Sus scrofa: one gene and its partners. The protein of the gene in region 1 interacts with the protein of each later gene in a pairwise test. Links are inferred from orthologs where the notes say so. Each region holds a gene or a part of one and is shown on either strand. Other genes may lie near its edges.

The links.
Region 2: the proteins of MOS (region 1) and MTMR9 interact in binary tests that used the Homo sapiens proteins (3 or more experiments, as listed by UniProt). The link is inferred for Sus scrofa from reciprocal best matches to the Homo sapiens genes MOS and MTMR9.
Region 3: the proteins of MOS (region 1) and SEC24C interact in binary tests that used the Homo sapiens proteins (3 or more experiments, as listed by UniProt). The two-hybrid records come from large-scale screens. The link is inferred for Sus scrofa from reciprocal best matches to the Homo sapiens genes MOS and SEC24C.

The regions. Positions count from the first base shown.
Region 1 is NC_010446.5:75,735,465-75,743,682, reverse strand, and holds MOS (proto-oncogene serine/threonine-protein kinase mos), read right to left. Parts: upstream 4,282-8,218; 5' UTR 4,109-4,281; coding exon 3,071-4,108; 3' UTR 2,607-3,070; downstream 1-2,606.
Region 2 is NC_010456.5:14,489,928-14,498,259, reverse strand, and holds part of MTMR9 (myotubularin-related protein 9), read right to left. Parts: intron 7,771-8,332; coding exon 7,629-7,770; intron 5,870-7,628; coding exon 5,649-5,869; intron 2,753-5,648; coding exon 2,601-2,752; intron 1-2,600. UniProt on the Homo sapiens protein: Acts as an adapter for myotubularin-related phosphatases. Increases lipid phosphatase MTMR6 catalytic activity, specifically towards phosphatidylinositol 3,5-bisphosphate and MTMR6 binding affinity for phosphorylated phosphatidylinositols.
Region 3 is NC_010456.5:76,481,030-76,489,361, reverse strand, and holds part of SEC24C (protein transport protein Sec24C), read right to left. Parts: intron 2,920-8,332; coding exon 2,744-2,919; intron 2,540-2,743; coding exon 2,171-2,539; intron 1,868-2,170; coding exon 1,731-1,867; intron 1-1,730. UniProt on the Homo sapiens protein: Component of the coat protein complex II (COPII) which promotes the formation of transport vesicles from the endoplasmic reticulum (ER).

The DNA of each region.
Region 1 (8,218 bases):
ACGCCTTTTTCTCCCTCCAAACAGGCTCACCTGTCCTGTGTTTCCTGCCCTCACACCAGTGCCCCTCTCATTCTGCTGCCTCTTCCTGAGCTCTGCTGTGGTTAGACCCTCCTTAGCACTTCTGTCCCTTCTTTCTCTCCCAACTCTTGGCAGCTCAGCTCCGTTTGAGCTCCTCCTGTTTTCAGGATTTCATCCTCAACTCTTGTACCCCACCGTGACCATCCGGCCTCTAGAGCATCTATTTGGCTTTGCCAAATCTTTCTGAAATCTGCCACTGACAGGCCCTGTGCCCCCCCGGCAGTCTTTCCTTATAAGTTCTGTCCAGTCATTAGGTATCACTACTGACACTGGAGTCTGTACATTTCCTTCTCCTAGTGTCCTTGACTATGGAGTTTATCAAGTCCTTCCCCTTGTTCTGTGACTCTCTATGATTCTAAGGAGAAGGGAAGGGAAGATATTTGAGTTTAAGCTGTGCCATGCTCATTTAGGGAACCAAATTCTGACTTTTTTTTTTTTTTTTTGCTTATAGGGGCTTCACCCTTGGTGTATGAAAGTTCCCAGGCGAGGGGTTGTATCAGAGCTACTGCCCGCCTGCAGCACAGCCACAGCAACATAGGATCCAAGCCAAGTCTGCAACCTACACCATAGCTCATGGCAACATCAGATCTCCGACCCACTGAGTGAAGCTAGGAATCGAACCTGCGTCCTTTGGATACTAGTTGGATTTGATTCTGCTTCATCCCAATGAGAACTCCCAAATTCCTAACTTTAATGCTTTTATTAGGGATCCTTGTGTGGCTGTCAGTCTGGAATAAGGTATTCAGCATAGTTAGAATTTCCTTTTAATGCTCCTGGAAGAACAAACTAACCCACTGTTACTTTTTTTTTTTTTTTTTTGTCTTTTTTAGGGCTGCACCTGCAGCATATGGAAGTTCCCAGGCTAGGGGTCGAATTGAAGATGTAGCTGCCAGCCTACACCACAGCCACAGCAACACGAGATCCGAGCCTTGTCTGCGACCTACACTGCAGCTCACGGCAACTTAATGCCGGATCCTTAACACACTGAGTGGGGCCAGGGATTGAACTCAGGTCCTCATGGGTACCATTCAGGATCATTACCGCTGAGTCATGATGGGAACTTTGTACTGTGACTTTTTTTGATCCACTGTATTTTAAACCTGCCAGCATGAACCCCTGTTGCTACAATAAACAGGGGAACTTATTGGTCTATGGCTGGTTTGTCCCCTCAGCCTCATGGACAGAGCCGGCAGCACTGTACCGATATTCTACATGGTCATGATCATGGTCATTTTGCTTCCCTCAAGAATGGTTATAAACCATGATCTCATTCTGTAGACTCCCTACCCTCCATCACTCTTTTTTTTTTTTTCTTTTCTTTTTAGGGCTGCACCTGAGGCATATGGCAGTTCCTGGGCTAGGGGTCAAATCAGAGCTGCAGCTGCTGGCCTGAGCCATAGCCATGGCAACACTGGACACGAGCTACATCTGTACCCTGTGCCATAGCTTGCAGCAATGATGGATCCTTAACCCACTGAGTGAAGTCAGGGATCAAACCTGAATCCTCATAGAGACTATGTCGGGTTCTTAACCCACCAAGCCACACTGGGAATTCCCTCCATTACTCTCTTTTAAAATTTTTAAATATTTTTGTCTTTAGGGCCGCACCACAGCATATGGAGGTTGCCAGGCTAGCAGTCTAATCAGAGCTACAGCTGCTGGCCTACACCATATTCTCAGCAATGTGGGATCCAAGCCTCATCTGCCACCTACATCACAGCTCACAGCAATGCCAGACCCTTAACCCACTAATCGAGGTGCCAGGGGTTGAACCTGTGTCCTTACAGATACTAGTCGGGTTCGTTAACCACTGAGCCACGACAGGAACTCCCCTCCATCACTCTTAAGAGAAGCAAAGAGAAGCCCACAGATGTGAATTTTCCCAGTCCCTCTTCCGCTTAAAATCTCATCTATGCTGGCCGTTTTCTGGCCCTCCTTTGCTCACATCCAAGAAGAGATGCTCTTTCTCTCCAAGGCTACGTACAATCTCTTTGCAGAGGCGTTACTTTTTTCTTCCGCAAGTTCATCAACTTCATCAGTTCTCTTTGTCCCCTCTTTATTCTGTCACAGATAAACTCACTTCCTTTATCCTAAAAGTAAGCTAAACCAAACCAACAAATCTCAAAACGTTTCTGCGCATCTTAACCCCCTTCAAAGTTTTCTGCTTCTCCCTTCTTAACAGTCCAAGCACAGCTTCTACATCAAGCCCTTGCTGAAACTCTGTTGCTAAATAGAAGTCAGTTTTGTCCTCATGACAAGATCCAGTCACCTCATTTGTCAAAAATCTATGCGTAGCCATGCCCTCCATGTCTAGACTGGGCGATCTGCTTCCACTTCTCTGTTCTCCTCCAGCTAAATGTTAAATTCTGCTCTGCTGCAGGGCTATCGTATTTTCTCCCATCACATCATCTTTGTTTTGTCGTCTACTTTTGAGTCCAAACAACAGGAAAAGGGCCCCAGTTTAGAAGTTTTAGCAAAATTTCTACTCATGGCACGCAGAAGTTTTTAAAATATCACAATCACAAGAAATCATTTAAAGTATCATTCCTTTTAAAAACAAGCTTACCTCAACTTGCGAACTGTATGTGTGAAGATCATTAGAAACAAGTAGTTTTGGGGGAAGAGCAGGAGGGAAAAATTAATCTTTGTTTTTTAGCTTATTTGTACGGGAGCAAGTAAACTGTTAACAGACCAATAACAAATTTGAGTTAAGTGCAGTACTATGGAACTGCAAGGAAGCACAGTAGCTCTGAAGCAAACACAGAGCTCTGTAAAGGGAGAAGGAGAGACACCACTAGATTTCTAGTTCTGCTGTTTGTCTTAGGAAAAGCATTTGGGGTGAAAGGAGTTTTTGGTAACTTTATTTTCTAAAAATCCATCCTACCTCTATGTTTTTTGTTTTTGTTTTTGTTTTTTTTTTTTTGCCTACATCTTCTCTTGTTAAAAATGAACAGCAACAAAGACAAATGCTTATCCGGCCACACGTTTCGGGTCAGCCCAGTTCAGCTTGTAGAGCGCGAAGGTCCAGCAGGAGGAGTTGTGCGCTGGGCCGCTGCTGCGCAGGGGCCGTCCAGCCGCACTGGATGATGTCCTCCAGTTTCTTCCCAGGGACGGACTCGGTGAAGACCGCCGCCGAGAGGGACGGACGGAGATTGTAGGCCACCACCGCGTAGAGCACGTGCTGACGCTCCCCTGAGTAAGGCACCTGCCTAGTGGTCATCTGCCAGAGGGTGATGGCAAAGGAGTAGATGTCCGCTTTTGGGGTGACGGGCTCGCCTTTGAGGAGCTCGGGGGCTCGGTGGGTGTACGTGCCGCCCAGGTGGTGCCGAGGCCGGAAGCGCAGATCTTCCAGCCTCTCGGAGCAACCAAAGTCGCTGATTTTGCAGACGTCCTGCTCACTGATCAGAATGTTCGCTGGCTTCAGGTCCAAGTGCACAATGCCTTGGGAGTGCAGGAAAAGCAGGCCACTGACCACATCCAGGGAATACTTGAGACACTTCTCCAAGTTCAGTTGCTCCCCAGCACTGCAGGGAGGCCCATCCTCCTCTGGACAGCCCGTAGCGCCGTAGATGACCTGGTGTAAGGTGACGTTGCCGCCGAACTCCATGATGATGCTGCCCAGGCTGTCAAAGGCCGCGGGTGTGCGCGTGCTGGCGGCCACCACGCGCACGATATTGGCGTGGCGGAGCCGAGCGATGTTGAGCTCGGCCCAGAAACTGCGCTGGGATGCCAGCCGGTTCTTGGTGCATCTGCTCACCTGTTTGATGGCCACAGGCACGCCGTGGTAGGTGGCCTTGTATACCGAGCCGAAGCCCCCGGCTCCCAGCCGCTGCAGCAGGCACACCTGTTCCCAGTCTATTGAGCACCAGGCCAGCCGGCGAGGAAGGCGCAGGGCCCGGGGTGGGGTGCCCCCCAGGAAGAGCTTCCCTGTCGGCCCCGGGAGCTCGCAGGGGCTGCTGCAGGGCCGCGAGTCCACCGACGGGGAGAAGTCGCCAGGCAGGCACCGGCGCCGAGGGAAAGGTGAGGGCATCGCCCTGCGGAGGGCAGCCCGCCGCGGCTTGGGTGGGATAGGAGGGAAGAGAAGACCCAGCGGGCGGGCGTGCAAGCATCACTGACCACCTGCCGCTCCGCGCCCCGGCCCAGCGCTTTTCTCCTCTGCCTCCATCTTCCGCAGATGAGCCACATCTGTGCTGTTACTCAGCGAGGGTTGTTATCAGATGGGGAAACAATCTGAACGAAGCACAAAAATCCCGCTCAGATGAAAGCATTTCCCTTTAGCACTTAAAGTGAACTCCTATGAAAACAAGCCCCGGAGAAGCGTTGACTGGATAAGCGGCCCTAAGCTGCCCCAGAACTCACCCACTTTTACACTGCTGCTTCTCTTATCGTAACACAGGCTTCCCCCCCAATTCTCATCCGCCGAGCATTATCAGTCCACCACAACAGTGCAATGAAAATATTCCACACTTTGCAGGCTATAATGATTGTCAGTTTATTCTCCAGCTGCATTAAATCACTGCCAGCAGTTATTGGCAGAAAGAGTTGAAACATCAACAGCTGAGCTTTTTTAACCGATTACAGGGAAAATTAGGTGCAACGTTCATATATGGAGAAAAAAACAGTAACAAAGTAATCGACCCAAACAGAATCACTGAGTCAGGTCAAAATACAAACCTCTTAAATTCATCAGGGAAAAGGAAAATTCTCTGACAGTCCACTCAGCTTATATAGCGAATTAGCAAGACTTCTTAGCAATGTAAAGACTCCCTAGCAATCCTTCCGGTCCATGGCAGTCCGGCCCACCCAGGAAGCTCCCTTGCAGAAGAGATTCTAGACTTCACAGCAAATGAGTTACAGAAGTTTTGAAGCAGAGTTAGGGGAGGAAAAAGAGCAAAAATGATTCAGAGCCATGACCAGAGCTTCAAATAATAACAAATATGAGAGTATCCTAGGAGAGGAAAAATCTGAAGAAATAAAAATGGCACAGAACCACTATTGCCTTCCTATAATGTTGAAAACCAGATGTTGAAATTAAATCCAGGGTCTTGCTGTCCAACCGTTAGTTCTTCCATTCTAATTTTTATAATAAAAAACTAATTTTTATTCCATACTTTTGGAAAAAGACCGATAATATTACTCTGTTCATTAAAAAACACGGGAAAGGTGTTCCCAGGTGGGTCAGCAGGTTAAGGATCTGGTGCTGTCACTGCAGTGGCTGGATCACTGCTATGGCACAGGTTTGATCCCTGGCCTGGGAACTTCCACATGCCACCAGTGCAGTCAAGAAAAAAAGAAAGAAAAATGAAGAAAAACAACACTGGAGAATGGTAGTGTCTACATTTTGAAACATCAAATGATGAAAGTTCTATCATGACTTACTGCACTTAGGGCATGTAGGTGATGTGTGACCACATTTTTCTGGTGATAGGTCTATGCTTCTGAAGTGTATTGGTTCTGAGAAGGTATGTTAATAAACACAATCCATTTGAGCCATTGGAAGTCTCTTGAGCCCTAGGATAAGATTTCTATTCTTTATCACCCATCTGCCTTAGTGGATAATATTGAGCCTTGATCTTTTTACTTAAGAAATTAGGATAGGAGTTCCCGTCGTGGCGCAGTGGTTAACGAATCCGACTAGGAACCATGAGGTTGCGGGTTCGGTCCCTGCCCTTGCTCAGTGGGTTAACGATCCGGCGTTGCCATGAGCTGTGATGTAGGTCGCAGACATCGCTTGGATCCTGCGTTGCCGTGGCTCTGGCGTAGGCCGGTGGCTACAGCTCCAATTCAACCCCTAGCCTGGGAACCTCCATATGCCGCGGGAGCGGCCCAAGAAATAGCAACAACAACAACAACAACAAAAAAAAGACAAAAAAAAAAAAAAAGAAATTAGGATAAAATTATTAAACTTTTTTTTTTGGAACAAAATTTGGGGAGCCCTTTCCAGAGTGAAGACAGTAAAAATCTAAAAAGTGTAAACTATGAGATATTTTAATAGAAATACAGTAGTATCAAACCTGAAGTATAAAAGGATGACAGTAAAAGGGTAAAATAAGAAAACATACAATTGTATTCTATAATAAGTCTATATTGCAAAATCTACTCAATAACCATCACATAGTTGGGATTATAGTTTAGGGCTCTGAAACTGTTATATGCTCTTAGGAATGCTGTAATATTAGCCAAATAAGAGCAGTAGATAGAGTGCCTCAAACGTCTGGGTATCAGACATAATGCAAAATGATGTGACGTTATAATGTAACCTTTATTTTTAGCATGAACAACTCATTTTTCAAAGTTTGACTTTATTATTTTCATAAAATGTAAGGTAGTAATGAAAATGTGCTATTCTATTAACAAACCCCAAGTTCATTAGGGCCATCATTTGCAAACTGCCCAAGGGTATTTAATTAAATATCCATTTTAAAACAGTCTCTGGGGCCAAATGGCCTGGGCTTCTTACTGTCCCTCAGTTTCCTCACTGTAAAACGAGGAAAAGATCCCTGCTTCAGGACTGTTGTCAAGATGAACAGAGTTCCAGATACTTAGATCAGGGCGTGATAAATAATACTTAAATGCTATTTATGAAACTCAGAAAAATGTATATGGGATTATACCAATAAGATCTGTTAGACAGTATTGGTTTAAAATATACCCTACCAGGCCTGAAGTAACATCACTTTATCACGTTAAGCCAATTTAAAATTTGAGTATTTTTTCCTGCACTTAAATTTTGAGGTTAAAGACATAAGGGTGTGTCATTGACGTACTGTTACACACTAAAAAAGGCGGGGGGATTGACATTGATGTGATAAATGCAATAATTTTGTCATCCCCAAATAAGTTAGGCAAAGAATAAAATGTGTTGATAACAGGGGAGGCACTGCCTCCCCAGAATCTCAGGTGAAACAGTTAGGTCAAGAGACTGTGGTTCTACTGGCGCTGGCGAGCAAAAGGCTCTCAGGTTCTTAAGAATAAATAGAGGCTCGACATGTCTGCTCTTTCCCAGGACAGCAGGGCTGTGAGGAGATCTTCAGTATCCGGCAGGCAGCAGCTTGCTATTTATCGCAAGATGTGACAACAGGTACAAGAATTAATAGCTCATTGAATTCGATTTCGATCACAAAGACTGAGGACACCGCCTGCGGGAGGAGTGGCTCTGGGCCGGGTCGGGCGGCTTCCGCTCAGGCGGAGGACCGGGACGCCGCGCCGCCAGCATCCCGCCAGCATCCCGCCGGGGCCAAGCGCGGCGTCGGCCGGGGGCCGGGGACTGGGGGCCGCAGCACGTGGCCGAGGCCCCGCCCGAGGTCCAGCCGGCGCCAAGCTGCTCCGTTTCCCGACGCTCCTTCGAGCACAGGACTTCAGGGTCCTTTCAGGTCCTTTCGGAGCATCACGTAACCTTTTGGAAAATTCGTTTAAAAGGCTTTTAAACTCGAAGTCGTAGAGACAACGCTCCAACCCCCACCCCGCCCCCGAAGATGACGCCCCTGGCTGCGCATGCGCGGCCAGAGCCGGGCGTCCCCACGGGGGACCATTTCCCGGCATCTCAGGTTACAACCCAGCTTCAGGATGTGAAAATGGGAAGGAACGGGCGTACTGGATCGCTGAAGTCTTGTATTACGATTTACAAGCCTGGATGAAGGTCGAAAATTCATTTTTGCTTTTTTTTAGAACTGGAAAACCAATAAATGAGTACAGGTGATTTTCTAAAATATCAGGATTTTAGAGTCAGACTTGTAAAACTTTTTTTTTTTTTTAACATAAGTGGAATTACAGTATTGACATCAGTCTGATGAATTTTAGACTTAGCAATATAGTATGGACTTGTTGTCAGTACAGTACCTATAGAACTAGTTTAGGGTGTTTTTGGCATAACATGGTCAGGGGCAGACCCAACTTATGTCGGATCTAAAACTTAATACAAATTGAGGGACCCTCTTTAAGAAAAAGTTTTTAAAATTACATATGGAAGCAAATATTTTTTAGATGAGAAATCACAGATTACAAATTTTAAAAAGCTGACAATACAGACATCACGAAATTCAGAGAAAAACCAATTTTATTAATGAATGATACTTGACCTCTGTATATTATGTTCCCCTACATTTTAGGGGGAATATATATACTTTATTAGCTATTCATA
Region 2 (8,332 bases), on another chromosome or scaffold:
GTTCTAAGTTGAAGCGGCACTAAACATACAGGGAAACCACGTTCTTAATGGAGTAGCAGGAATTTACTCATATAACAACAGAAATTTTCTTCTATCGCATAATCCCTAAACTCTCAATGAAGTTTAGTAAAAACTAGTAAAATAGGTCTTCAGGCCCTCCAACTCCCAAATCTGGCTTTCTTCCCAGGTAGCTAGTCTTTCATCTCAGTTATTAAACATGACGGTGGCTTTAAGGTACACTGTCCCAAAAGTCTCAAGCAAGAAGCACAGCTGTAATCTCTCATTTAGATAGCATGTGCGCTGCACCTGTGACTGTCTAAACACTCAAGAAAGCAAGAAGTTCTGAGCATCTGCAAAGTAATAAAGCTCTGACTCAGAGACTCTTAAGGCTGTCAGGGGCCATTTCCCCACAATTCCAATGAGGGGACCCCTCAACAGAGATGACTAGAAGCATAAACAGATATGCCAAGCAGAATAACCTATGACAGCTGACAACCAGAGAAGTGACAGAAACAGGCCAAGAAAACAAAACCAAGGAAGCAAAACAACTTGAAACCCTTTAACACATGCAGGGCAAACAGTTTCCACACCAAAACTGCCCTCAGGAGTAACATATTAGAACACGGCATATCGAGTTCCCATCGTGGCTCAGTGGTTAACAAATCTGACGAGGAACCATGAGGTTGCGGGTTCGATCCCTGGCCTTGCTCAGTGGGTTAACGATCTGGTGTTGCCAAGAGCTGTGGTGTAGTTTGCAGACGCGGCTTGGATCCCATGTTGCTGTGGCTCTGGCGTAGGCCGGTGGCTACAGCTCCGATTCGACCCCTAGCCTGGGAAACTCCATATGCCAAGGGAGCGGCCCAAGAAAATGGCAAAAAGACAAAAAAAAAAAAAAAAAAAGAACACAGTATAATAACTGCCACATATGGTAGTTCAGTTCAGTTTACCAAACAGCTACCATTCCTGTGTGCATGCCTTCTGTTTAATATAAAGATGAATAAAGATGTACTACCTTCAAATTGATTAAAAAGAAAGTAAATGGTACTTTATAGGCTGTGTAATGAATGGATAATTTTTAAAATACAAGCTTTAGTATTAATAAAGGAGATAAGCTTCAGGAATTTGAACAATTAATGAAGGTAAAACACCCTCCTTAGAATAGATATGGGAGTTCCCATTGTGGCGCAGTGGAAACGAATCTGACTAGGAACCATGTGGTTGCAGGTTCGATCCCTGGCCTAGCTCAATGGGTCAAGGATCTGGAGTTGTCGTGAGCTGTGGTATAGGTCACAGGCGCGGCTCGGATCTGGCATTGCTGTGGCTCTGGCGTAGGCCAGCGGCTGCAACTCTGATTCAACCCCTAGCCTGGGAAGCTCCGTATGCCATGGGTGTGGCCCTAAAAAGAGACAAAGACAAAAAAAAAAAAAAAAAAGAGAGAGAGAATAGATACAGCAATTAAGCCTGGATTATTGTTCCACACAAACAGTGAGATATCTGCATTACTATATTGATGGATGGCACTCACGTACATTTATGGACCCTTACTAGAATGACTAGCTCATTGTAATAAAAGGAACAAATCATCTCCTAGGAGCTTACAGTTTATTCTTGTCCGGATTATCTACCAGTTTCTTACACAGAAAGTAATATATTTCCTCTCACACCCATTAGGATGGCCACTACCAAAGGCAGGAAATACCCAGGAAATTAACAAGTATTAGCAAATATGTAAAGAAATTGGAACCCTTCTGCACTGTTACTGTGAGCTTTTAAAATGATGCAATCATTATGGAAAACAGTATAACAGGTCCTCAAAATATTAAACATATAATTAGCATATGATCTAGCAATTCCACTTCCACATGGAAAGCAGGATCTCAAAGAGGTATCTGCACCCTTATGCACCAAAATGTGGAAGCCACCCAAGTGGCCACTGACACAGGAACAGATGAACAAAATGTAGTACATACACACAATGGAAATTATTCAGCCTTGAAGAAGGAGATTCTGTCAGATGCTACTACATGGATGAGTCTTAAGAACATTAATTATGTTACGTGAAATAAGCCAATCACGAAAGAATACTGTATGGTTCCACATATATAAGGTACCCAGAGTTGTCAAATCCAGAGACAGAAAGCAGGGTGGTGGTTGCCTGAGGCTAGAGGGGGACAATGAGAAGTTGGCGTTTAATGAGCAGAGTTTGAAAGATGCAAAGTTCTGGAGACTTGACAACAACAATGTGATATACTTAACAATACTGAACTGCACACTTAAAATTTACCAACTTAACCATCTTTATGTTTTTGTCACAAGAAAAAAAAGTAATGTGCCTTTCTATCTGGAGAAAATATCCAATATAGACAGCAGTATCAATTAAATAATCATGGTTCATTTCTCAAATAGGGACTGAAAAAAAAAAGTGTGACAAGATGACTGATTTGAAAGAGAACAAAGCCTACAGTGAACAAAAAATGACAATTACACACAGGTTTGAGGGACAGATCTTGCCATCTTCTAGTATTGGCAGTATATACTCAAAAGCAGCTAGAGAACATCCTAGACTATTTATAAAAGGTTTGCAAAGATGCACAACTTACCCTCCCACAGCTGAAGACTCTGTGGAGCAACCGAAGGCCAGATGACAAGATTGTTTGCTTCAAAGAGAGGGTTGGTGAACTTACTCAGTTCACTGGGTCTATTGACCCAGGACCACAGAGACATCGTTTTCTGCTGTAGCTTCAACTTACATCTGATCAAGAAGGAAAATTTCCATTAAAGCAATTATTTTATGACAACCACTTCTTTTTAAGATTTTTTTTATTAGAGTTGATACAACCACTATTAAATGCTCGAAAAGGACAATTTCTTCTCTCTGTTATGTTAGAAAGCAAAACACAAGACTTTTAGCAGCAGAACAAAGTGTTGTAAGATAAAAATATTTGTCAGAGAATCAATTGGCATTCTGTTGTTGTTTGCTGCACCCACAGCATATGGAAGTTCCCAGGCTAAGGATCAAATCCAAGCTGCAGCTACTACAACCTACACCACGGCTGTGGCAACACCAGATCCTTAACCCACTGTGCTAAGCCAGGAATCCAACCTGCATGGGCCACAGAGACAATGTGGAATCCTTAACCCACTGCACCACAGTGGGAACTCTTCAATCAGCATTTTTAACTATCAATAACAACAAAAACAAAGACTGTTTTGCAGGCTTCCAAAGCTGGCAACAATGAGTTAATCCATCAAGAAGATATAATAATTACATATATGTATATTGCACTTGAGCCACAAAATATATGAAGCAAAAACTGACATAGTAGAACAGAAAAATAGACACTTCTATAATACATTTGAGGACCTCACTATCCCAATAACATATAGAACAACTAGACAGAAGATAAACATGGAAATATAAGACTTGACCAAAATGTAAGGTAATTATAGAATACTCTACCCAGCAACAGCAGAAAACACATTCTTCTCAAGTGCACATGAAACAGTCTCCAGGCTAGAACACGCATTAGGCCGCAAAACAAATCTAACTCTATACTGTTATCAAAGAAAATATTCAGAGCAAATACCCTTGATGGCACAGAAAAAACAGCATAAACACATCCATTAAATTAGACTGATCACACTAAACACATATAGCTGCAGTAACTAGAACCAAAGCACAATGAGAAAAATATGGTGGATGGAGAACTTTCTAGAGCAAACAGTTCTAAATTTTCCCCTACTTCTGAAGAATCTATAAGAAAATCTAATGTTGAAAAATTTGCCAATTCAAATTTTACTTTACTTTTTTTTAAGTAAAAAGTATGTATTGCTGTAGACGCTTAATTTTTTTTTTTTTTTTTTGCTTTTTAAGGCCACACCCATGGCAAATGGAATTTCCCAGGCTAGGGGTCTAATCAGAACTCCAGCTGCCGGCTACACCACAGCCACAGCTACAGCGGATCCAAGTCATGTCTGCACCTACGACAGTCACAGTAACACTGGATCCTTAACCCACTGAGCAAAGCCAGGGATTGAATCCACAACCTCTTGGTTCCTAGTCAGATTCATTTCTGTTGCACCATGATGGAAACTCCTCTAGGTGCCAAATATTAAACTGGTAAAAATACAGTAATTCCAGCCTTTTGTGAAAGCTGTTATTTGTTTAAATTTATTATTCAACTAAATAATGCCAACCTAGCCACCAAGCCAAAGGACAAACCTTGCCTCCCATGCAAAGGAAGCCTTTTGATTGTACCCAAAAGAGAAAATTACCAGTTAAGCACCTTTAATGATCATTCTGATACAAATTTTCTAATTAACCCTATAAACTTGATGGTATTTGGGTTGAAAAGTGAAATTATCATTCTGGGCCTAAAGACAATTTCTCGGTATAACAAAATCTAGAGCAGGAACAGGAAAACTTGCACTACAGCCACACTTCTTCTTTTTTTTTTTTTTTGGTCTTCTCTAGGGCTGAGAAGGGATTTGTTAGATTCATTAACCACTGAGCCATGATGGTAACTCCCTACAACCCCACTTCTTCTTCTTCTTCTTCTTTTTTGTCTTTTTTGCCATTTCTTGGGCCACCCCCTCGGCATATGGAGGTTCCCGGGCTAGGGGTTGAATTGGAGCTGTAGCCACTGGCCTATGCAAGAGCCACAGCAACGCGGGATCCGAGCCATGTCTGCAACCTACACCACAGCTCACGGCAACGCCAGATGGTTAACCCACTGAGCAAGGCCAGGGATCGAACCCACAACCTCATGGTTCTTAGTCGGTTTCGTTAACCACTGCGCCACGACGGGAACTCCTACAGCCACACTTCTGATGATCACCTGGCTGTGTGATTCTCTGGCTATTACCTTCCTAATCTATAAAACTAGATGGAGGACAGAGTTGCACTGTATGTTAAAGCTTCCAGATGTAAGATACTATGCTCTTATATAAGGAAATTAACATTTAAAATGGTTGCCCAGGAGTTCCCGTCGTGGCGCAGTGGTTAACAACTCCGACTAGGAACAATGAGGTTGAGGGTTCGGTCCCTGCCCTTGCTCAGTGGGTTAACGATCCGGCGTTGCCGTGAGCTGTGGTGTAGGTTGCAGACGCGGCTCGGATCCTGCGTTTCTGTGGCTCTGGCGTAGGCTGGCGGCTACAGCTCCGATTCGACCCCTAGCCTGGGAACCTCCATATGCCGCAGGAGCGGCCCAAGAAATAGCAAAAAGACAAAAAAATAAATAAATAAATAAAATGGTTGCCCAATTCACAAAAAGCTTTTTAACCAGTGTATGGAGTAAATTTTTTTGTTTTTGGCCGTGCCCAAAGCACGTGGAAATTCCCAGTGATTGAACCATGCCACAGCAGCTACCAGAGCTACTGCAGTGACAATACCAGATCCTTAAACTTCTGTGCCACAGGAGCACTCCAGTAAGGAGTAATTTAATCTAATAGAACTAAATCTAGGATATGCGCTCACCTAGCATGTGATGGGCTCATAATAAAGAATACATTTCATGTAATTTAATTTATACTACTGTAACCTCTACTGTCTTATAAATAAGACCAATGTAGAACCAAATCCTGGTCTCCTTTAGGAAGTAACCAAAACTACTAAAAATAAAATGGCTCCCTGTGAGCCATGTACCCACCTTTCACTTTCATTGTTGCCCAGAAATGTTCCAAATTGTGAGGCGTAAGCATGCTCAAAGAGCATGATGAGGAAATTCTCATTAAATTCAAAAGAACAAGGGAACTGACGAAGTATCTGCCACACACAGTCCAAGAAGAGAAGAAATACAGGTGACTCCCACTTCTGCCTGCTGTTACAATAGGCTGACTGTGCACAGCGCTGCTGGAATGGGTGACCAGCCTAAGAGGAGAGATGGAAATGTGACAGTCATGTCCTGGTGGGATCACAGTATAGCACATTCTGTTAACACATTTCACACGGCTGCATCAAAACTATTATTAAATGGAACATCATATATTTTTGGTGGCTGCTCTTTAATGGATTTCGTAGTTTAAGACAATCTTCAGCACCTAAGGGAAAAGACATTAATTTCCAAATACCTTACTAGCCTATGCAGTTAGCCATGAGAACTGCAGTTGTTCTTGGTATATCAAATAGAAGGATAATGAACTTCAGCGATAATAAACATAAATCTTTCGAGGTCTATGAAATCTGGAGCAAAGTCAAAGAACATGAGCTCTTGCGGTATGAAACAAAGGACAGCTATCCTCTTCTGTCCAGCCAAAGCACTGCAGATCATTGTGAGCTGTGTAAGCCTCACCACTAAATGGAGATAAACAAGGGGTTCTCACAGACAAATTTAACAGGTCACTCCTGATATTGAACTTTTAATTACATGCAAAAAAAGTTATGTCATGGAGACATCTGTGTGAATACTTTTATATTACAGACCAAGCTGTCCTTAGTTTCCCTCTCCTTCTACAAGGACCTGGAAGAGGCTGCCATCTACTGACCAAAGGAAATTTAAGAACCATTAGGCTCTCTGGCCCATCTAGAACCCGAGTTTATCCCAAGAGTCACACCCTTCTGGGTTTTAAACAGGCCTGCTTTATCTTTGGGTCCTCATACCACTTTATCTGGTAAAGCTAATAGCATGAATGTGAATGGGATTTTGATACCCATGAAAATGGTAATATGTTAATAAGTAAATCATACTCATTTGTCTGCTGTGCATCACATGGAATGTAGCTGAATAAGATTTGCATGAAATATTTAGGACGGTCTGACTTAGACATAAAGGTTAGTTGTCAGAGTGGGTAGACTCAGTAAACATAACAGTATTAATACATAATAAACCCAAACTGTAACCAGAAGGGCCAGAAATGATTTTTCTCCAAAGGTACTTATACTTTCAAGATATATCTAAACATTATTTTCAATCGCAATATATATAGTAAGTTAACACAGTATATATACATCTATAAGTTAAACTCCAGCTTGGAAGATTTAAATCTATTTTATGACACCTTTATTTTAGCTGTTCTTCAGCATTAAATATGACAGCACTGTGTGGTATCCTAGGGATAAACAGCTGAATTCGGCAAGGCTCCCTGACTTCTCTGTCACTGTGTCTGGGTATAGTTCAGGAAACAAGGTGTGAGGAAAATGGGTCAATTTTATCCGTGAAGGAAGTCAGGGTCCCAAAGACTTCATGAAAGCAGCGACATTTAGCTGGATCTTAAAGGATGAGAAGGATTTCACATGGCTGGGGAAGACAACGGGATGGAGCCAGACAGGCAGAAGGTAGAAAATGCTAAAGCACATGCTGCCGCCGCATATTTACAAGTCCCCACTCCTCCTCCCCACCTCATTTATGACTTTTATCTCTAGCAAGACAAGACTATGTTACCTACAGGGGAAACACAAAGAATGTAAAAGTACAACTGATACGGGTTTCTTAGGGGAATGAAGCGCCAAGTGAACAATGTGAGCAAAGAGGGAGGCAAAAAGATTAGACATTAACTAAGAGGAAGATGAACTGTCCCCCCAGAAAATTAAACATACAATTTAAACATTTGAATCAATCAGAATTCCATATATTATGTCCTTTCCAACAAACCAGATCAAACATCAAGTGTGAGCAAGCCATTTTTCTCACCTGCAGCCACTCTCTTTCTATCAAGGCCTCAAAGCCACGGATGGTCCTGCTTCTTGGCTCCAAGATGATCTGGGCCAGGGACGTAACCTGAAGTGTGGAATCAGTTCCTTCTGTTCCATGAATCAATATGGATGCTCCTTCCCTGATAGGAAAACCCAGAGTACAGATGGGACACTCCCAACATGGTCAACAACTCTTGTTAATAACATGTTTGAGCCCAATATTTCACAGTCTTGCATTCTGCTCTGTCCAGTAGGGCTTAGAGGCTAAATAAGGAATATGAGGAGAGTGTCCCTTGGGGAAAATATGAAACTATAATAAGTCCCAAATTTCACATGGCGAGAACCTGTTTATTTGTAACAAATTTCATAGAACCATTTAGCTTGATTTTTTCTTTCTTTACAAAACCACAAAGCAGACCTTATCAAACTCAGTAGGCACTGACATTTTCTGCTTTAATAGTTGACTAAAGCCTTTTCTCATCAAACTGAGAAACAATTATTTTTCTGTATCTCTCTGACCTTGCTTCTACCTTTCTGCCATCAGCTTACTGTAAAGACTGCCTTCATAAACTGTAATGAATCTGGAAAACAAGTCCTGAAACACACTTTGAGAAACATGAAAATAGGAAGAAAAATTTTTTTACATATATATATAAAACTGTCAATCTAGAAAGTCAGTGGCAATGATACTATCACAACACG
Region 3 (8,332 bases), on another chromosome or scaffold:
TTCTGGGCCAAAAAAGAGCCTTTCATGGCTCAGACTATGATGTAGAAAGTTATGGAAGGGGGCAAACAGGAGGCAAGAGGCATTAAATAAGGAGGGGCTGAATGGGAGAAATCTTAAGAAGAAAGAAGAGGGATGTTCCCTTCAAAAGGCCAAGTTTCCCATCTAAGGACTCCTCTTCTGCTGAAAGAAACCTCCCCTCACATCCAACCAGACTCTCCTCCTCAATGAAGGAGGGAAAAGGAAGGAAAGGCTGTTTAATTCTTTTGGGTTCCCCTCAGCCAACTGGATCCCTCACCATGGTAGCTCCCCAAAGGAAGAGGAAAGAGAACAGAATGGAATATGACAATGGCTAAGCATGGTGAGAGAATCGACATTGCAAATGTTGCAGACAGAACTATAAGGTGGCCTCCACTTGGAAATATACTCCCAGCCTCTATTCTGATATGATGAGGAAGGCTTGAGGATTCTGATGGTTCTAGGGGTGAGATTCACCCTCTTTCTGGAAGAAGCCTCTTCCCCACACTGCCCCTAGACTGTAGATCACTTTTCCCCATCCATACAGCAGGAGCCTAGCAAACAAAAGTAGTAGAGGCTTCCTTCTAAAACACTGCCCAAGCAGGGGCACAGAGAAACCAGAGAGGCCTTCCTTAACAACTAAGACCAAAGAATTCCTACCCATTAAGCAGAATGCTATTCCAACTAGATCTAAGAGGACAAGACCTGGGCCCAGCCGCTACTCTACAGAAGAGCAGAGGTTACCATGCTATGTCCGATAGCAACAGAATTCAGCACTCAGCCCAGAGATCTGCTGACACAGCTGATCAGTCCCGGCTTTCCTTCCTTTCCTGCCCAACTATATAGTAAAAATGCTCCCAAAAGACTTCTTGAGGAGTTCCCATTGTGGTTCAGCAGTAGTGAACCCAACTAGGATACATGAGAACACACGGGTTCAATCCCTGGCCTTGCTCAGCAGGTTAAAGATCCAGCATTGCTGTTAGCTTCAGTGTAGGTCACAGATGGGGCTCAGATCCTGTGTTGCTGTGGCTGTAGTATAGGTTGGCAGCTACCACTCCAAACTGATCCCTAGCCTGGGAACTTCCATATACCTCTTCCTAAAAAAGACAAAAAAAAAAAAAGGGACTTCTGAGACTTCCAGTTAAAAAGTCAAAAATGACATCTAGGAATTCCCGCTGTGGTTCAATGGTTAACGAATCCGACTAGGAACCATGACGTTGCGAGTTTGATCCCTAGCCTTGCTCAGTGGGTTAAGGATCTGGTGTTGCTGTGAGCTGTGGTGTAGGTCACAGACGCGGCTCTGATCTGGCATTGCTGTGGCTCTGGCATAGGCCAGTGGCTACAGCTCTGATTCGACCCCTAGCCTGGGAACCTCCATATGCCATGGGAGCGGCCCTAGAAAAGGCAAAAAAAGACCAAAAAAAAAAAAAAAAAAAAAGCCGTCTAGGAGTCCCCTGGTGGCCTAGCAGTTAAGGATCCATTGTTGTCACTGCTATGGCTTGGGTCGCTGCTGTGGCATGGATTTGATCCCTGGCCCAGGAACTGCTGTGCAGGCATGACGAAAAACAAAAATTACATCCAGGTTCTACACTTACAAGATGATAAATTAAAAGGGAAAATAATCAGAAAATGCTAGGCAAACATCTCATCTCGGTTGACTCACTTATGTGGCAGCCATAAGCTCCTTCTCCAGGACCACATAAGTATCTACTTACAGGACTTGGGATGGCATCAGGGTCCAGGCGCTTAGGAGGCAGTGGTTGAGGAGGCCCCGGTTGACTGCCAAAAGTGGCTGCTCCTGGGTAGGGGCTTCCATAATTGGGCTGAGGGCCCCGGGATGGTCCAAAGGAACCTGAGAGACAAGGGCAGAAGGTTGATGAACAGAAAATTCCTTCCCTATCTCTTAAGGCCTCAGGGAAATGACTCGACTCCTCTAAATGTAGAATTGTGAGGTACAGTAATGGCCATTCAGAGAAAGACCACACTATCTGAACTATGGGGAAAAAAATTTATAAACCCTTCATTCTAGTGAAAGTGAGGCTGTCCATCTAGTTCACCACTTAGCAAGCAATACTAAAAGCAAATAAAAATAACAACAAAAACAACTGAATAGCTGAAGCCCTTGGCTCCTAGGCAGACCTTGAGAAAAACTTACCATTTTGCTGCAGCTGATAGCCTGGCTGCTGGGAAGAGTGCATAGGTGGTGGTCCTGGGGGCCCAGTCATTTGGCTGCCAGAGGGCAGAGCTTGAGGAGGAGGTGAGGACACATGGTTGGGCTGGCTCCCTGGGGGCCCCCCAAAACTCTGACCAGGCAGGTGTGGACCAGTCATCGAAGGCATCCGAGGACCCCCTGAAGTTGGGGGTGTGAAGCTGGAGGCCTGTGGTGGGACAGATCGCTGGGGAGGCTGGGCCCCAGGATGGCCCTGGGCCTGGCCAAGGGGTGGAGCCTGGCCCTGAGGATAGGAGCCATACAGACCAGAGTTAGGGAAATTTCCTGAGGCTGAGGCCAGCGATGTTGGTGGGCCTGAGAAGTAGAAGAAGTAGAGTCAGAACCCCAGTCATTCTGCCTCCTTGTTCAGTAAATCATTTTCCTTTCCACACGAGGGACAGGGATGACTGTCCCATCTGCCGGGGCTCAAAAGCACAAGAAATAAAAGGGATTCAGGTATACCCCCAGCTTCTAAAAAATCAAGGGGACAGTAACATTCCTATGGTCATAGCTACTCACCATAGCCCAGCCCTGAAGGGGGAGGGGCTGGGGCCACAGCACCACTGATCTGCATTCCAGCCAGCTGAGCAGTCACCTGTGCACTTGTCGGGGGAGGGCCATAGGGCTGAAGCACAGCTGGCTGGCTGACCACAGGGGCCAATGGGGCCGACCCGAATGGCTGAGACCCAGGGAGCCTGTGAAGAGAAGGAAGCAGAGGCTGGGACATCCTTCAAAGTTGGCAGAAGCTCCACATCATATAGGAAGCTATATTGTTTTACAGCATCATTTTTTGTTTGGTTTTGGTTTTGGCCATAACCACAGCATATGGAAGTTTCCAGGCCAGGGATCAAAGCTGCACCACAAGCGGCTGAAGTGACTCAAGTGGCTGCAGTGACATCAGATCCTTAACCTGCTATACCACAAGAGCAATCCTGCCTTTGTATACTTTAAATGCATGAATCCCATGGTACATGAATTACATCTAAATTAAGTTGTTTAAAAAGCCAACCAGGGAGTTCTCCATGCTTTGTGGTGTGCAATGAGACTGGCAGCATCTCTGGAGCCCTGGGATGCATGTTCAGCCCCCATCACTCCCAAGAGTGGGTTAAGGATCTGGCGTTGCCCCAGCTGCGGCGTAGGTTACAACAGAAGTTCAGATCTGATCCATGGCCCGGAAATTCCATACGCCAAAGGGGGTGGGGGGCAGCTGAAAAAGGGTGGAAAAAAAAAAAGGAAAAAAAATCCGATCAAATAAAATTGCCCTATAACCTCACAGCTCCCTCAAGCTTTTGCTCTTCTTTTAGCCAAACATTTACAAAAGGATTAGTCTATGCTGTTTCTATCTCTACTTCTTTAATTACTATTCCTCTCTCTCTCCAAAGATCTTTCTCCCTTTTTTAAAATTTTCTTTTTCTTTATGGCTGCACCCATGGCACATAAAAGTTCCCAAGCCAGAGACTCAATCTGAGGCACAGCCACAACCTACATGACAACTGTGTCAGTGCCCACAACTGCATCAACACCAGATCCTTTAACCCACTACGCCAGGCTGGGGATAGAACCCAAGCCTCTGCAGCAACCTGAGCGGCTACCTTTGGATTCTTAACCCACTGCACCACTGCGGGAACTCCTAAAGATCTTTCTAGGTTCATTTCCATGTTTTTCTTAGTCTATCCCTTAGTAGTTTTCTCAGCAAGGGTCTATACATGGTAAACTCAGTCTGAAAATGTCTTTTTTTTTTTTTTTTTGGTCTTTTAAGGGCCTCACCCACAGCATATGGAAAGCTAGGGGTTGAATCAGAGCTGTAGCCGCTGGCCTACACTACAGCCACAGCAAGGCCAAATCTAAGCAGCGTTTGTGACCTACACCATAGCTCACGGCAATGCTGAATCCTTAACCCACTGAGAGAGGCCAGGGATAGAACCTGCGTCTTCAGGGATGGTAGTCAAATTTGTTTCCGCTGAGCCACTATGGGAACTCCCTGTAAATGTCTTTATTTGCCCCCTCTCTTAGCTAGGTACATATCTCTATGTTGATAGATATGTTCCCTTAATGCTTATAAGGTATTAGTCTACTATATGCTCTCCTCTAAAAGTTTCTTATTTATTTACTTTTGCTCTTTCAGATTCTTTTTTTTCCTTTTTTTTTTTTTTTTTTTTTGCTTTTTAGGACTGCAGCCTCTGCATGGCATGTGGATGTTCCCAGGCTAAGGGTCGAATGGGGGCTACAGCTGCTGGCCTATGCCACAGCCACAGCAATGCCAGATCCAAGCCACGTCTTCAACCTACACCGCAGTTCACAGCAACACCAGATCCTTAACCCACTGAGCGAGGCAGGATCAAACCCTCAAACTCATGGTTCCTAGTCAGATTCATTTCCCCTGCACTACAATGGGAACTCCTTCTCTTTCATATTCTTTCCCCTCATAAATTATCAGACAATAATGGGTAGAGTTCTCTGTGCTCTACAGCAGGTCCCCATTAGCCAATCATCCCATATACCTCAGTGAGTATATGCCAATCCCAAGCCATCTCTTCCCTACGCCTGTCTCCTTTGGTAACCATATGTCTTTCAAAGTCTGTAAGTCTGTTTCTGTCCTGCAAATAAGTTCATTTGTATCCTTTTTTTAAATTTTTATTTTATTTATTTATTTATTTTTGTCTTTTTGCCATTTTCTTGGGCAGCTCCCGCAGCATGTGGAGGTTCCCATGCTAGGGGTCTAATCGGAGCTGTAGCTACCGGCCTACAGCAGAGACACAGCAATTCGGGATCAGAGCTGCGTCTGTGACCTACACCACAGCACACGGCAATGCCAGATCCTTAACCCACTGAGCAAGGCCAGGAACCGAACCTGCAACCTCATGGTTCCTAGTTGGATTCGTTAACCACTGAGCCACGACGGGAACTCCTGTATCCTTTTTTGAGATTCCACATATAAGCAGCTTTTTTTTTTTTTCTCCTTTTGTGGCCGTCCCACAGCATATGGAGTTCCCAGGCCAGAGATGAGCTCCAAGCTGCAGTTGCAACCTACGCCATAGTTGAGGCAACACTGGATCCTTAACCCACTGTGCCAGGGCGGAGATTGATTCGGTGCCCTGGGGCTCCTGTTGCGCTACAGTGGGAACTCCTCTTATTTACTCTAATCACTATTTTTTCCTGTGAGAGACCTTTATGGCCTGGGTTGAGGGAGCATGACTATTTCACATTTGATTCTGGATGGTACTCCAATGATATTGCCACACAAGATCAAAAAATTTTTTAAAGCTTTAAGATATAATTTCCATACCATTAAATTCAGTCCTTTTGACCTGGCATTGCCATTAGCTATGGTGTAAGTTTCAGACATGACTGGGATCCCACATTGCTGTGGCTGTGGCTATGGCCAGCAGCTGGAGCTCTAATTTGACCCCTAGCCTGGGAACTTCCACATGCCGTGGGCGCCACTCTTTTAAAAAAAAAAAAAAAATCCTTTTAAGTGTTTGATTCTAAAAATCAACTGTTTTTAGTAAATTTATAGAGTTATACAACTATCACCAGAGGAATTCCCACTGTGGCACAACAGGATTAGTGGTGTCTCTGTCTCTTGTGTCCTATCTCTACCAAGACACAAATTTGATTGCCTGGCCCAGAAGAGTGGGCTAGGAACTTGGTGTTGCCACAGCTGCGACATAGGTCCCTGGCCTGAGAACTGCACATGCCCTGGGGTGGCCAAAAAACAAATAACAAACAAAACAGCCATCACCAGAATCCAATTTTAGAATGTTTTCACTGCCCTCAAAAACCCCTCGTATCTATTTGTAGCCCTGAAACCTTTCTTTTTAGAGAAATGGGACCCCTTATTATTTCCCTCTGCCAGGGTGCAGATTTTTTTCCCTAGTCTACCTGTTCAATGAAGGTGTAGACCAGGTCCAAACTTCATAAACAAGTCTCAATTCTAAACCTTGGCTCAGAAAAGTGCAAGATATCTGCTTAAACTTAAGTCCCCAGGTTCCCAAGATGATCATTTCCACCCTCTCCCTAGGCAGCCACAGTGTCAGCTTACCACTCTGATTTTCAGTTCTCACTTGGTCTCTGGCACTTGAGACTTTAAGTTTGACTATGCATTTGAAAAAAAAAAAAAATTCCATTTCCTCCCTCCTTTCTAGATGTTTGTCATAGAAGAGTTTTTAGGTTATATTAATCTACTTCCTAGCTGAAAATCTTAGACCTAACTAGACAGCTGCTTTCATATGTCCACTGAAACTACATTTGTCCAAGCCCAATGGTCAATTCTCAGTCCACATTTCACCTTTCAGCAGCAAATGATCCAGTAGATTACTCTCTTGACCTACTAAAATACTTTCTTCACCTACTTTCAAGATGTTTTTCTGTCTTGGCTAATTCCTACCTCGTGACTGCTTTCTCATTGTCGTTTGGTGGCTTCCCTTCTGACTGGCCTTTTTTTTTTTTTTTTTTTTCCCACTATTTAATATCTTAAAATGCTATGTATTTTATTTTATTTTTTTTCTTTTTTAGGGCCACACCTGAAGCACATGAAAATTCCCAGGGCAGAAGTTGAATCAGAGCTGTAGCTACAGGCCTACACCACATCCACAGCAACACCTGATGCGGCCCATCTGTGACCTACACTGCAGCTTGCGGCAATGCTGGATCCTTAGCCCACTGAGCAAGGCCAGGGATCGAACCCATATCTTCACGGATACTATATCAGGTTCTTAACCTGCTGAGCCCCACAGGAACTCCTGACTGCCTTTTAAATGATGGTAATAGATGGACTGGGGGTTTGGGATTGGCAGATGTACACTACTGTATATGGAATAGATGGTCAGCAGGGACCTGCTATATAGCACAGGGAACTCTACTCGATATTCCATGATAGCCTATATGGGAAAAGGACCCAGAAGAGAATGGATATGTGTATGTCTATAACTCAATGGGTACTGTACAGGAGAAATTAGAACAATGTTGTAAATCAACTGTACTTCAATAAAACTTTAAAAAATGAAAGAAAAGGAGTTCCTGTTGTGGTTCAGCGGGTTAAGGATCCAGCACTGTCACTGCTATGGCTCAGGTCACTGCTGTGGCGTCAATTTGACCCCTGGCCCAGGAACTTCCACATGCTGCGGGTGCAGCCAAAAAGAAGAAAAGAAAAAAAAAATTTTTTTTGGGTAAGCTCCAAAACTCAGTCCTCAATTCTATTATTTAATCTCAATGCTCACTTCCTAAGTGATTTCATCTAGTGCCCATGGCTTTAAGTACTGTCTCTATACCAAAGGCTCCCTAATTTATATCTCCAGTCCTGACATCATTCCTCAGCTGCACATCTGTTATACAACTGTCTACTCAACATCTCTACTTGGTAGCTGGCAGCTTTCTTAAACCTATAATGTACTTGGATGAGCAATAAGGTCCTGCTGTACAGCACAGGGAACTATATCCAATCTCTTGGGATAAAACATAATGGAATTCTCCTTGTGGCTCAGCAGGTTAAGAAGCTGAGACTGACTCAGTGGATTAAGGATCCAGTGTTGTCACAAGCTCTAGTGTAGGTCACAGATGTGGCTGGATCTGGCATTGCTGTGGCTGTGGTGTAAGCCAGTAGCTATAGCTCCGATTCAACTCCTGGCCCAGGAACTACCATATGCTGAAGGTGCAGTCCTAAAAAGAAAGAAAGAAAAAGAAAAAAAAAAAAAAAAAAAAGGAGTTCCTGTTGTGGTGCAACAGGATCTTCGGTATCTTGGGATCACTGGCACTCAGGTTGGATCCCCAGCCTGGCACAGTGGGTTAAGGATCCGGCGTTGCCACAGCTGCAGCTTAGGTCAAAACTGCAGCTCAGATTTGATCCCTGGCCCAGGAATTCCATTTGCTGTGGGGCAACCAAAAATGAGGGGGGAAAAAAGGGGGAATTCCCATCATGGCGTAGCAGAAACAAATCTGACTAGCATCCAGGAGGATGCAGGTTCGATCCCTGGCCTTCGTCACTGGGTTAAGAATCTGGCATTGCCGTGAGCTGTGGTGTAGGTTACAGGCCTGGCTCAGATCTGATGTTGCTGTGGTTGTGGTGTAGGCCAGCAGCTACAGCTCCAATTCGACCCCTAGCCTGGGAAC